Linked DNA regions of Notamacropus eugenii. The protein of the gene in region 2 purifies or fractionates together with the protein of the main gene of each other region. This does not show direct contact. Links are inferred from orthologs where the notes say so. Each region holds a gene or a part of one and is shown on either strand. Other genes may lie near its edges.

Region 1 (7,107 bases), on a different chromosome or scaffold from region 2:
ATCTAATTGAAGTCATGAAAATTATACAATTCATATTCCACACCTCTCAGCTCAGCTCATTCACTATGTAAAACCAAGCTTAAATAAAATATACAGTACATGGCCCACATGTTTGTTATCTACAGGCAATGAATTTCATTTATATCCTTATTTCAATTAACATGGTCAACTAGGATCATAGATTTAGAGTCATGTTAACAAGCATTTATGGAGTGCCAACTACATGCTAGGCAATGTGATAAAACTGGAGAAAGGCAATGTCCCTATTCTCAAGGAATTCATTATCTAATGGGAAATAAAACATGCAAATACTACAAAATATACACAGAATAAATTGGAGAGAATCTCAGGGTGAAGGAGAGAACAGACTTAAGAAACAGCAAGGAAGCCACTGTCCCTGGAGGAAAAAATACATGAAAGGGGTGGGGAAAGAAAGTTATCAAGTAAGGTGTAATAAGACTGGAAAGATAACAAGGGGGCAGATTATGAAGCACTTTAAAAGCCAAATCAAATTTTATATTTGATCCTGAATGTAAAATAGAGTCATTGGATGTGACTGAATATGGGGAATAATTTGGTCAGACTTGCACTTTAGGAAGACCACTGACAACTGGGTGGAGGATGGACTGGAATATGGAGAGACGTAAGGCAGGAAGACCTATCAGCAGACTATTGCCATAGTCTAAGCTCCAAGTAAAGAGAGCCTGCACCAGAGCAGCGTTAATGTCTGAGGAGAACAAGGGGCAAATATACAAGAGATGTTTCAAAGGAAGAACAAATAAGACTTGGCAAAGACTGTCTATGTGAGGGTGAGAGAGTGAGAGAGGAGTCAGTGATGACACCCTCATTGGGAGCCTATGTGACTAGACCTAGGAGGGACCTTGGAGATAATGGAGTATAACATTCTGAACTTACAGGTGAAGCAATGGAGGCAGAGAGTGTTTGACTTACCCATAGTTACCCTAGGAATAATTTTTAAAAAGCAACTCACATATACAAAAAGCTCTAAGTTTAAAGAAAACTGACCCATGCCAGCTCATTTGATTTTTCTCTGAGACAGGTGCAAAGTATTAATCTATTTTACAGATGAGGAAACTGAGCATCAGAAAGGTTACATGCCTTGCCCAGAATCAGAGAGCTAAAGTGTTCAGGTGCAATTCTAATCACTGAGTCCAAGTCTTTTCTGAACTCTATTTACTAAGTCAACAGAACTGAGTTTAGAACACAGTTCCTCTGACTTCAAAACAATGCTCTTTGCATTACCACAGGCTGATTAAACATCATTAGCTATAATTATTCAACCCCCACTGAATAAATGGCACCCAATATGCTCTCTCATATCCAATGCTAAATCTATGATCCCATGAAAGGAATATGATGATGGCAGTAGGTACAACCATTTTCCGCTCATCTCCAATTTTCTTTTAATTATAATACAAGTGTCACCATTTTCTTCATATGAGAACTACTTCGCGTAACTTAAAGGTTTCTAAGTCTGACATTTCAATGACCAAGTAACTTTTCAAAAATAGATCAAGAGACAATGAGGAAGGCTTAGTACAGCAAATGCGTGTGGACTTGAAAACATTTACATGCTTCACCATACCAGGAAGGCCTTTACCATGGGCAAGGTCCCCTGGAATAGACACCAAATTCCTTTTATCATCTAACTCCCTTTGGGCCCATTTATGTGGATATCAGAACAAGCTTTCCACAGAAAAGGAGAAAAATCTGAAGTATGGCTTGTTGTCTCAATCTAATAGGCTCACTGGAAACTTCCCACTGTGTGTTTTATTTGAGAGGCTGGATTTCCATTGTTATTGTCTCTCTTGGTGCCTGTTTTCCCTGTCTTTTTCCTGCAAAGTGGCCTCATTTAGCCAGTACCAGTGCAATCCCTCCCACCACTAGCCATGAGCTGAGCTAATGAGAGAGAAGCTGGAGCAGCCTCTCAGACGCAAGCACTGCACTCATCTGAATTATTATTTTGTCAGGAAGGGGACAGGAGGGAATCGAGGAGGGAGAAAGTTTGTGTTTCACGCTATCGCTCTCCTTTTCGAAGAGGCAGGCGCTAACCCAAGGCGCTGCTGCTCCCCATCAGCGACTGCCTCCTGGGGGAGCTGGGGCCCGGGCTGGGCTGGGCAGAGCAGGGCCCCTGAGCGGGGAGGGCGGAGAAGCAGGGCTCTGCCCCTGCAGACAGGCCTGCCTGGCTCTCCCTCCGCCCGCCTGCCCGCCTGCTCCCCCTCCAGGGGACGGACGGCCTGGCTCCACACTCACTGGGCCCCAATGCCCTGCACCCACATTGTGGGGGATGCTCGACCGCCCTTACCACCAGGAGCTCCTACCCCAGGGGAATGGGAGGGCGATCAGCTCATGACCCTGTAGGGAGGCAGGGGTCCACGCAGGCCCGGGGGAGGGGGAGGGCCTGGCAGGCCCCTGGGCGAGGGGACAGGAGGGGAGAGGGGGGTGCCAAGGAGAGAGAGGCACGGGGAGAGGGGGCGGCCACTAGCAAGGCGGGGGGGGGGGGGCCGCGGGGGGGGGGGCGCGCGGTGGGGGGGGGGGGCGCGGGGGAGGGGCGGCCCTCGCAGGCCCAGAGGGAGGGGGCACGCGGGGCTCGGCGGGGGGAAGGGATCTGCCCCCCACCTCTCCTCCCCCGCCCTCTCCAGCGGTTAGGGTTCCAGCTCTCCCGCCCCCTCTTCCCCCAGGCCCGGGTTCCATCCTACCTCCGACCCGGTACATGTTGGCCGCCATGTCCGCCCGCCCGCCCGCCTAGCCCAAGCCGGAGCCGGAGCCGGAGCCGGAGCCCGAGCTGAGCCCCGCCCGCCGCCGCCGCCGCTTCAGCCTCAGCCGCCTCCGCCTCCGCTGCTGCTGCTGCTGCTGTTACTGCTGCCGCTGCCGCCGCCTCACCGAGGGGAGGGGGAGGGGGAGAGGAGGGGGTGAGAGAGGAGGTAGAGCAGGGGAAGGGAAGGGAGAGGGAGGGGGGAGCGGCCCGCCCCCCGGGCCAGCCACGGGTTAATAGGGCCCTGCCCTCGAAGGGGCGGGCGTGGGTGACTGGCGGGAGATCGCTGGGGAGAATCCTGAGGGGACCGTGGAGAGAGAGCTAAGGGTCTACAGCCTGGGCTTGGTGATTTCAGGGTCTTAAACCCATTAGGGAATTTAGGACGATCCCAGCCTCGATGACCTCCTCCCCCTTTTATCCCCCATCCCCCACACACCTGTACGCACAGTTGCTACTCTTGCCCAATCACCCCCTTTAGGTTCTAGCTCTGCAACTACCCTTGGGAGCTCGTGTGTGTGTGTGTGTGTGTGTGTGTGTGTGTTGCAGTTTGGGTGCACATAAGCCATACGTGGGAGTATGCTGTGGTGTTTCCTCAACTGCATGTGTGGCTCTGAGTTTACTTGGCTAGTCATGCAAGGTGAGAGAGTCTGATACTCCTGTTTCCCCTCGAAGTGTTCAGAACCGTGGGAGGGAACCTGGAGGTCGGACTAAGCCACTGTCTTGGCCCCTTAGTGACTGCAGGGACAACCAGCTTCTTCTAGGGCTGAAGACGAAGGTACCCATGAAGGCAGTCATAGCTTCAGAGGTGTACAAACCTAGGGAGGAAAGAACCCTAGGCAGGGAAGAATAAGGAATGATGCTTTCCTCTTTGCCAATACTTTTGGAGAGCTCAGCCAGCCTTCCTTCTTCACTATAAGGCTAGTCTTGCATGTTGAAGGAACCTTGTGCCGAACTTCCCCTTGAACTAGGAACCACAAAATACAAGGGAGGAGATTGGTGGTGGAAGACTGTTTCAGTCCCTAAATAACACCATCAATTTGTAGGTCCAGTTCCTGTCCTCTTGTCCCTTGGAAACTGCCTTTCTCAGCTGCAAACAGAGAGACCTATGAAGGCAAATATAGTTCCAGAGGACTAGGAATCCAGAACGAAAAGGGGTGGGGGGCAGAGGACATAATAGAAGGGCTCCTTTTTCTTTGTCAATGTTAAGGAAATTCAGCCAGCCTTTGCTGCCATGAGCATCCCCATTAGCAAGAAGCACAAGACAACTAGGTTGGTAGCGATGGACAGTAACAAGTTATTTGCAACTGAGCTTTCCACTGGGTCGTTATTTTTCCCAATTTGGTCCTCTAAACAAACCACTTGGTTTTGATATCCTTCATATCCTGACAAAAACAAGAAACCAAATAAAGTCTGAAGCTAGCTAGACATCCCCGAATGAACCCAAACAACCTTATTTAGTGAAACTAAACTGTTCCCAAGCTAAATCGGTTCCAAACTGTTCCCAAACATTGTTGTTTAATAAACATGAAGATGCCCCCATGCTGTTGTTCCTTCTTTGGAGTTTCTGACTGAGAAGCAGCCGTCTCTCTCATTAATTCCAGGCTCCAATTCTTGTAGTGTTTTTCTTTTAATCTCCAGAAGAGAAAGACTACTCTTTTAGCTTTCTGACAAGTCATTTATTTACTTTGATACAATAAACAGAAATTTTTTGATGAAATCAAGACTTTATGTGTAGCCAAACTAGAGAACTCAGGCTAATAAAAAGAACTCCACCTTTACAAGGGCTATATGAACCTTTGGTTTAATGCCTTTTCCTCTTCCATAAGAAGAAAATTAACAATGGTGAAGTTGTCATGATTCAGCTTAAAGCTATCACAATTGTACTAGACTTTTATCAAAATATCCCCTGACATAGGGAAGCTCTACCTGTCTGTTTCAAAGATGAGCCCAGGAAGACTTTTATTTGTCTGGTAGCACAGGATCCACAGAATTGTAATCAGAACATATCCCAATATCACCATCACTTTATATCACCTGAATCAAGGCCTGTCTAATTTATAAATTAGATAATGATGTAAAACAGGATAACACTTAAGGGGTTCCCAGTGCTTGAAACTCAGGGAGACAGACTGAGAGGCATTTTCCCCTGTGCTTTTTTACAGAGTTCTGCAAGTAGGGAGAGAGCAACCTCTCCTTTTCAGCCTCTTTTGACCAGTATTGACAACCTACAGCAAAAGCACTTGGCAATGATAGATATGTGCTTCTCCAGTCCTGAGGTGGAGTTTAAGACACTGTTCCTGAACCCCAGTGTAGAAGGAATGATTGTGAATTCCTTAAGCAGTATAATTCTGGCATCTGTTCTACTAACCAGGAAAGATAAATTTTCAGGGAGGCTTTGCAAGTTAACTCCTAGACAATTCCAAATTTGTTTCTGATTATAAATATTCATATACTAGTGTCCTAGAGAAAAAAGACTTCTTCAGCAGTTGGCTTCTTAGAGAGGAAAGAGAAGCACCCTTAAGTAGGTACCTAATCTAACCCAGCTGCTCTTCTCAGCTTCTTTATCCTTAGTATTATTTTTACTTCTTTATGTACCACATTAGAGACAATAATGTTAGGATCTAAATATGGTGGACTTCACTGTCTTTGAGGGAGAAAATAGGTTGTTGTAAAAAAGTCTTATAGAGCCTTTGCATTTTTCATCTTCTATTGTCCTCCCAGTTTTATCCTTTAATGCGCACACGATTATCTGGCTTTATTGGGTTTCTTGCAAGTTTTCTGTAATTTTTTTTCACTATCACTTTTCATTATTTTGTGAAGTGATAATACTTATAATCTTCTGCTATCCTCCCTTTTGAGATTTCCCCTAAAAAATGTTGTAGACTGGCATTGCCTTTGGCTGCCATATATTTCAGCTTGGCGAGAAGATCATTGTTCTACTTAATGAGGAATTTTCTTGGGTTTTTTGGCGTCTTCATTGTAACAAGTGATTTACACTAGTTAAACTTGATGGTTGTTGAACTGAATTGAATTCTTTAAAATGAAGTTGTATTGCCTTTTTCAATTCCAGAAAAAAGAGAATTAAAATGGGTGAGAATTATTATCTCTTTAGGCAATAGTGGTAGAACATCTAGTACTCTCCTCTCTTCAGGAAGTAGTGATTGTTTATGTTGATGTCTCTTCTTTTAATTCTCATTCTTTTGTTTGTTGAAGACTAGGTTTACACCAATAAGCTTAAATTCATTTGATAAATTAACTTAATAAATCTCCTTTCTACTGACCATATTTCTGTAATGTTCCTAGAATGTCCCATCACACTTTTTGGCTTAGGTGGTTCAAATACTTATGTAAAAATTGCAATTTTATCACGTCTTACTTCTTTGGGTATTTGTGAATAACTAAAAAACAAAACAAAACAAACTTGTCCACTATTAATCCCTTAATAAGCTAAATATATTCAAGCCTTCTTCCCAGTTTACTTTCTGCTTTGATTAGTCCAAAGTCATTCATTTCTGCTCCACATCCATGACTAACTAGACCATAAAGATAGCATTTACAACTATTTCAGCCATTTGTTCATGGCAGCAGTTCGCTATTTTAAAGCCCTGAGTTGTCTTAATTGCATGTCATGTCTTCTTATTTTTATTTGTTATTGATTTTGATCCTGGTTTTAACCAGTCCATATCTAACTGAACACAGCTGATTGGAAAATGACTTCCCTGCTCGTAACCAGTTGTTTCCTATCCATTACAACTGAGTCAATTTCAGATTTAGCTGTATTATTCAGTGTTTGTTCTGTTTCACACCTCCTAATTCTGTTGTTGAACAAAACGTTCATGATATGTAGATGTGAAGCTTCAGTGTAATCTACAAGTATTTGACCTCTTTTGTTTCTTTTTTATTTTGTTTCATGTACTTAAATCATATTTTCCAACATATATATTTTGGCCAGCACTCCTTAAACCCACATGTGCATTACAGTCACCACGTATTAAGGCATAAGTTGATTTAATTTGCAAGAGCTTATCACATTTTTTCATACAATTTCTCTACCTTCTCATCCTCTACCACAGCTGTGATCTACACCAAGGAAGGAAATACTTACATATATGAAATTTTAGGTCCATCAAAGTATCCTAGAAGTATTATTATTGATTGGATAAAAGAAGGATCTGGAGCTTGGAACACTGCCTTGGATAGCAAACCTTGGAGAGCAGTCCTCTCAGGGAGACAGGACTGAGCAGGTATCCTTCAAATATTATGTGTCTGGAGATGGGGTGGACTTGGGGGAGGGGAGGGTCAATGGGAGACAGCAAAGGCAAACTGGCTTC
Region 2 (6,931 bases):
AATAGTTTGCAAAAAAAATAAAATAGTTTACAAACAGAAAAACTATGGGAAAAAGTAAAGAAAGTGAAAATACATTGTTTTGACCTGCATTGAGACTCCATCAGTTCTTCTCTGGATGTGGATAGCATTTTCCCTTGTGAGTCTTTTGGAATTGTCTTGGATCATTGTATTGCTGAGAAGAGCTAAGTCAATCATAATTGATCATCACATAATTTTACTATTACTACGTACAATGTTCTCCTGGTTCTGCTCACTCCACTGTATATCAGTTCATTTAAGTCTTACCAGGTTTTTCTGAAGTCTGCCTGTTCATCATTTCTTATAGCACAATAGTATTTCATTACATTCATACACCACAACTTGTTCAGCCATTCCCCAACTGGTGCATCTCCTCAATTTCCTATTCTTTTTCACCACAAAAAAGAGCTGCTACAAATATTTTTGTATATATTGGTCCTTTTGCCTTTTTTTATAATCTCTTTGGGATACAGAGCTAGTAGTGGTATTGCTAGATCAAAGGGTATGCACAATTTGATCACCCATTAGGCATCGTTCCAAATTGTTCTCTAGAATGGCTGGATCAGTTCACAACTCCACCAACAGTGCATTAGTATCCCAATTTTCCCATATTCTCTCCAAAGTTTATCATTTTCCTTTTGTTATATTGGCCAATTTGATGGGTGTGAGAGGTACATCAGAGTTGTTTTAATTTGTATTTCTCTAATAGTGATTTAGAGCATTTTTTCATGACTATAGATAGCTTTGATTTCTTCTGGATGAATACCTTGACACCTCTGCTTTAGAGAGATCTTTCCCTTCCCAGGCCACCAGTATCAGGGGAATCAGCACTGAAAGGAAAAGACCCTGCTGCAGAGACTATTGACTACAGGAGAGAGTCCAATTTGAGTCCTCAGAGAGTACATATTGACACTAAACAATGGGTACTTTTGTTTGAAGAAGAACATTTTTTTCAAAGCACCTTTACATTTATTATCATACCTTATCCTAATTCAGCAAGGCTGCATGCTAATCAGGAAAAGGTATTTTTGTTCTTATTTTACAGAATATGAAAATGAGAAATTGTGTGCTAAATGACTTTTTCCTTTAAATCAGATCTAGGGCTCAAACACTATTCTTTGGGCTTCCAACCCCAGACTCTTTCCTTCCACTTCCCTTGGTAGTCCAGGGATCAATTTCGTTTGACTGAACAAGGGAGAAAGATATGGGCTGTGGTACTACATAGTCATTTTAACCTCCATCATCCCACGCTTAGGACAGACTTCTCATTCAATTCCTATTTGTCTTCTGAGTATTTGTACTAGGTGATATTGTGGGAGAAAGAAGTACAAAACAAATAATAGGCAGGACTGAAAATTATTATTGTCATTGAAAACAGCTTCCTCTGGTCTGAAGTCTTGTCTGGACAGTGGGCCTGAGACTACTTGAAAACTACTGGGCCTGGCTTTCATCCCTGTGGCCTCATTTACTGTCCTGAACAGCAAGAGGAAGGTAGTTCCAATGGCCAGAGCTACCTCAATGACAGTGAAGGCCAGCAGAGCTTGAATGGTCCCCTGGATGCTGGGCCTGGAGCCACTAGGTTTGAATTCTGCCTTTGATGCTTTAGATGCAGAGGTTTTCAAAGTGGGCCATACCACCCCCCAGGGGGCACTGGAATAATCCAGTAGTACTAGCCTCATAGTGTCTTGGGTGCAATTGGGGGTTATTGAATAAAAATAAAAGGGTGTTGAAAGCATAAGGAAAGAAGATAAGAAAATTTTGAAAAATGGTTGGTACATGTTTCATCTGTTGTGTAACAGAATTAATGAGATTACATTTTCCAAATATACACACAAAATGTAAGTTACAACCAATCAGCGGTCAAATCCACTGACAGGTCTCAATAAGCAAGTATTGGCATGCGAGTATATTGTGCATTGTCTGGAAGTCCAGCACGCGCTGGCAGGAATATGTGCAGGTAATGACTTGTTTACGATATGATACTATACAGTTACATAACACAATATTGCATCATCAAAATTTCAATGAAGGAAAGCCCCCACAAATTTACAATAAATTATTAAATTTAAGATGTGTCATTTAAAAAATATTTTGTATTTTTTTGAAATGACACAAATAAAAAAAGTTAAAGGGTTAAAGAAAGTAGATTTCTGGGAGGGGCACTGAGAAATTTTTTTAAAAGGGGTGATAGGCCAAATAAGTTTGGGAACCTTTGCTTTAGAGATAGGTAACTGTGGCCAAAGGGTGACTATGACCCAGTGACTTATCTCTGAATAATCATATTTGTTATCGTAGGGCGGTTGTGAGGAAAGTGCTTTACAAAACATAAGACACTATGTTAAAGTAAAAGAGTATTTTAAATAAAGCTTTAGTGTTGTTTTCCCTACTTTCGTTTAAGAGATATGGCTCACTTCCTAGATGGTCCTCAGGTCCTTGTTCATACTTCAATGTGTATTTTATTCCCCAGTTTGTAGAAGATGGATTAGATTTATTTAGCATGGCCTTAGAGAGCAGAGGTAGCAGTGAGTGGGATCTTGCTTTGATTGTGAAGCTTTTCTAACTGAACACAGCCTACAAAAATGTGATGGAGGTAGTGGGCTCCTTCCAAGTAGCTTTCTTCAGAAGGAGGTTGGATGGCCACTTGTGTCAGATGTTGTAGAGGGGAATGGGCCATCTTTTCAGCTACAAGCAATTCTCAAAAGCCATATGCTAAGTCAGAGGGGCTGAGAATCCACGGGGTGGACGAAGGGAATTCCTGCTTGCGCCTCTGAAGCTTTGTGACTCTAAGAGTCCTGGACATGAGAGACACAAGAGAAAGGGATCAGAACAGGTCTCCTGGGTAGGCCCCACCTTGGCAAGGTCAGGAGATCCCAGATTCGCTGGGACATTCATTCCTACTAAGAAGCTAACTGATCAGCCAGAATCCCATCTGCGTTGGAACGATCTTCCAGGCTGGTCAGCAGCACAGTTTGCAGTCAAACGTCGGGCCCCCTGCTGAGGGGCTCTAGAGCCGTCCTCAAGTCAGGGAGATGCGGCTTCTAGGTCCACATCAATACTGACCAGCTCAGTGCCGCAAGCACCACATGGGGCTATAAACCAAGCTAGGGCTCGGAGTCCTCCCCGGGATGGAAACAAAAGGGCAAAGTCAAGACTTCGGGGCTACAAATGTTTATCAAGCATCGGCTGTGGATAACACAGGCAGCAGTAACGCAGAAAGGTATTCGGACGAGTGCAGACAGAGCAAAGAGATATTGTCCCCCAGGCCGTAATCCACCGTAGGGAAGTGCGTGAAACGGGCCAAAAGGCCGGGTAGGCCGGTCCGAGCGCCCCTCCCTCCTCCGCGGAGGGACGACGCCCAGGCTCCAAAGCTCCCGGTAGCTTCTGCGAGGCCTGTTCCCTGCCCTTCCCTAGTAATCCGACACTAGTTGCTCCTCCCTCCTTATTATCACTCTCCTAATCCCCAGGCCCTTCACTCCCCAATATAAACCGAGTACTGCAGACTTCATCTTCAATCCATCCGTTTTTCTGAGCTAGACCGATCCTAGTTTTTCTTCTTTTGAACACAAGCTGAAGGGGGAGGGGCTGTTGGTTAGAAGCTGTTACGGGCGGGTGGAACTACAATTCCCAGAAACCTGTCCGGGACCCTAATCGCGGAAAGGGAACGCGCAGGCGTAGAAACTGAGCTTCCCCCTCTTCTCCCCCCCCCCCGGCCGCCCCCTCCCAACCTCCGACGTATGTAAGCTGCTATCACGCAGGCGCGCTCCGAACGCCGGCTTCTCTGGTCTGGCTGCTTGCTCGGTACGCGGCGGCGGCGGCGGCGGCGGCGGCGGCGGAGAGCGAGCGAGGCCTGGTGAGCGCCTCTGAAGCCGCAGGTCAGCTGTGCGGTCGAGAGAACCGGCGGACGCTTGACGCCCCCACTTTACCCACCGTTCGCTCGAGATCGGCTGCCACGGAACCAGGTGGGCGCGCGGGTGGCGGCGGTTGGGGAGGGGAAGGCGTCCGCCAGGATCCTCCCTCTTTTTCTTCCTCCCTCCCCCCTCCCACTCCGGGCTGTCCTCCCGCGGGGAATGGGGAGAGGCCCCGGGGCGGGGGCGGGGAGGGCGCGAGCTCCGATCCCTGGGCCTGTCATCTTGCGCCTTCTCCTCCTGTAGCCGCGCAGCTAACGGCAACGTTGGGGAGGCCCTGCCGGCCTGGGGCTGGGCCCTGAGGTGCTGGTCACTGTCGGGAACGCCGGCTGCGGCGGATCGGCGGCGGCGAGAGCAGCGGGAGGAGGAGGAGGAGGAGGAGGAGGAGGAAAGGGAGGAGGAGGTGTGTGTGGGGGAGGGGAGCTAGGACTGGGCGCCCGCAGGGGCGTCGACGGCGGGGAGGGCGAGCCTAGACGCGGTGCCTGCGTGGTAGATTGGGGTGGCGGGGGGCGCCGGAGGAGCTTGTCATAGGCTATGTGAGTGTGTGTGTGTGTGTGCGTGCGTGTGTGACATCGTGTTAATCCAGACAGGAAGGGACAGTCCGGGTGGGAGTTCACAAGTTCGGGCGCCCCCACCTACCCCCCGGCCCCAAAGCGGAGCGGATGGGTATTTTTGGGGGGAGGGGGGAGACAAGGCAGGACGCTGCGCTGTGGAGGTGGGGGTGGGGCGCGGCTACGGCGACAGATGTCATAACAACACCGGCCTGAAAAGGCTGACGGGGGTGTGGTAATTATAGGCATGACAGAAGCACTTGTGACTAGAACGCGGATAAATGGCGATTCGTGTGCCGGCATGGCTGGGAGGTGTGACGTGCGAAGAGTTCTGGAGGATGGTGCCCAGTGGCGGGGAGGTGGTAGAGCCCGCTGAGGGGGCCTGGGCTGGGGGAGGCAAGGACAGCCCTGAATGCTGCCCCGATTATAAAACTGGAGAAATAAAAAAATACATTAATCCTTCAAAAATTCTGTTTAAGCTCTTTAGGACAAATAATCGCAAAATACTTCTACCTCCATACTGTCTTACAGTATGATATGTCAAAGGACCATTTTACTAAGCTCTTTTTTGTGATTTAATCTATACATATGGGTTAATCTTTTTTTTGTTCTCCTGTCATTAATGGCCCTCTTTATTTTTATCTTGTTTTTGCTGTTTTTAATTTTTGAAATGATCAAGAGCTTGTTTTCTAGATCCTTTGAGTAGTAATGAATTACTCATTTTCTCATTGGCAGAAATCATAAATAACCTCATGTATTTATTGAAATAAATTGTTATACTTGCAGCACGTGGATTTCATAATATGGAGAAGGTGTGTTTTTGGACTAGAGTGGATGGAGGACTAGGGGAACTAGTAGAGCAATTGGGCAGACCATGATCCATGTCGGGGCAGAAGAAAGCCCTAAAGACTTGAGACAGGCCAGGAGGATTTGGGACTGAAGCTGATTACCTTCTTAGATTAATTTCAACAGAGCTAGGCTACCCAATCAAGCTTTCTGGAAGGGTCAGGGTGCAGTGTGAGAATACTGGATCTGGAGGTACTCCCTTTAAGGGTACAAATCACAGCCCCTTCTTACCTACCTGTTACATGCAATTCCTGCCCCTTGGACTACCGTAAACACATCACACAGAGCCTCCTGAAATGTTAAGGGCTGCCCTTCCTTTCCCTTGTTGTAATCGTGCACATGGGTTGTCAGATCAGTTACCTCTTACTTCATTTGCCCAACCTATCTTTTTCACTCATACATTCTTTAGTAACATTCTTTAATTTATTTCTCCCTATAATTCCATGTTTCTTTATTTTTTTTTGTATATTTATATAGTCTTTGCTTGTGCTCACTGCGGGCGTGCTCCGTTACCCTTTGGCTTAGTCTCATTTTCAGTTATTTGGACACTAGTGTTCAATGACACTGTTCTCACTACAACACTAGAAGAATGTTGGTATTTTTAAAATGATATTTAAAATACTCGTATTTTTAAAGGCTTAGGGTAATTAAAAGACCTTTGCAACATCTCAAAAGCAGTCCAACTTCTCTTGCTTTTCAATTTTGGGTCCAACTCATTGTCCATTTGCTGTATATGAACAAGATTTATGCTAATAGTCAAGCTATATAGATTTTCTGCCCAGTTACATATCATTGTGTGGATAATAGGGTTTTTTTTTCTACCTGTTCTTTCCTCTGTGGATGATTCAGATTTTTGAGTGATTATATTTGGCTCCAAAATGAACTATTCTATATGAAACTAAAATCCAGTTTTGAGTAAATCACTGACCTGTCCTATTTGTTTCTGAAGAATTCTAGGTTCGAATGCTGTTTATTTATTGCCAGTATTGTTCCCCTTAAGTAGTACAGGTGGCCAAGATAACCTTAATATTTGATCTGAAATGTTACTTTAGAATAATATATTTACAAAAAACACAGTAATTGTTAACTAATCTAGTGCAGTACTTTTATCAGTTACATATGTGAGGAGGAATTGTATGAAGAACACCTAAATATTACTAAATAATACTAAATAGTATGAGGAATACTTAGGAAAGGATTACGTATGATCCTTAAGTTTACCATCTGGTAGAGGAGATAAACTATACAGGCGTCAAAACATACAGATCAAAGTGCAGAAATAAATATCAGTTAAAATTTTATTATTTATTCTGCTGGAGTGAACCAGCTTGCTTATATTTAGCTTATGTTTGAGTTGAACTCTCTTCTCATCACTCCCTATTAAAATCCTTAACTTTCTTCAAGGAGCCAGTCCAGGTGTCATTTTCTACAGGAACCATTCTTGGTACCCCATAGTTGTGTTTATTGAAATCACAACTTATATTTTTACTTAGCTTAAATGTTGTATTTCTCCTGTAGAATGCAATCTTGAGTTCAGGGACATGTTCAGGAACATTTTTGTATTTCTAGTGCTCATTAAGCATCTAGGTAGTTAGGTGCTTAAAAAATTCC

What was found. Proteins that work in one complex are often made in the same cells at the same time.
Region 1: the proteins of KPNA1 (region 2) and MTA3 purify together in Homo sapiens (affinity purification with mass spectrometry; 3 studies listed by BioGRID and IntAct, with this or other methods). This does not show direct contact. The link is inferred for Notamacropus eugenii from reciprocal best matches to the Homo sapiens genes KPNA1 and MTA3.

What each region holds. Positions count from the first base shown.
Region 1 is NC_092872.1:667,600,231-667,607,337, forward strand, and holds the start of MTA3 (metastasis-associated protein MTA3), read right to left. Parts: upstream 3,063-7,107; 5' UTR 2,749-3,062; coding exon 2,721-2,748; intron 1-2,720. UniProt on the Homo sapiens protein: Acts as a component of the histone deacetylase NuRD complex which participates in the remodeling of chromatin.
Region 2 is NC_092876.1:342,694,604-342,701,534, forward strand, and holds the start of KPNA1 (importin subunit alpha-5), read left to right. Parts: upstream 1-3,848; 5' UTR 3,849-3,977; intron 3,978-4,219; exon of another isoform or gene 4,220-4,326; intron 4,327-6,931. UniProt on the Homo sapiens protein: Functions in nuclear protein import as an adapter protein for nuclear receptor KPNB1. Binds specifically and directly to substrates containing either a simple or bipartite NLS motif.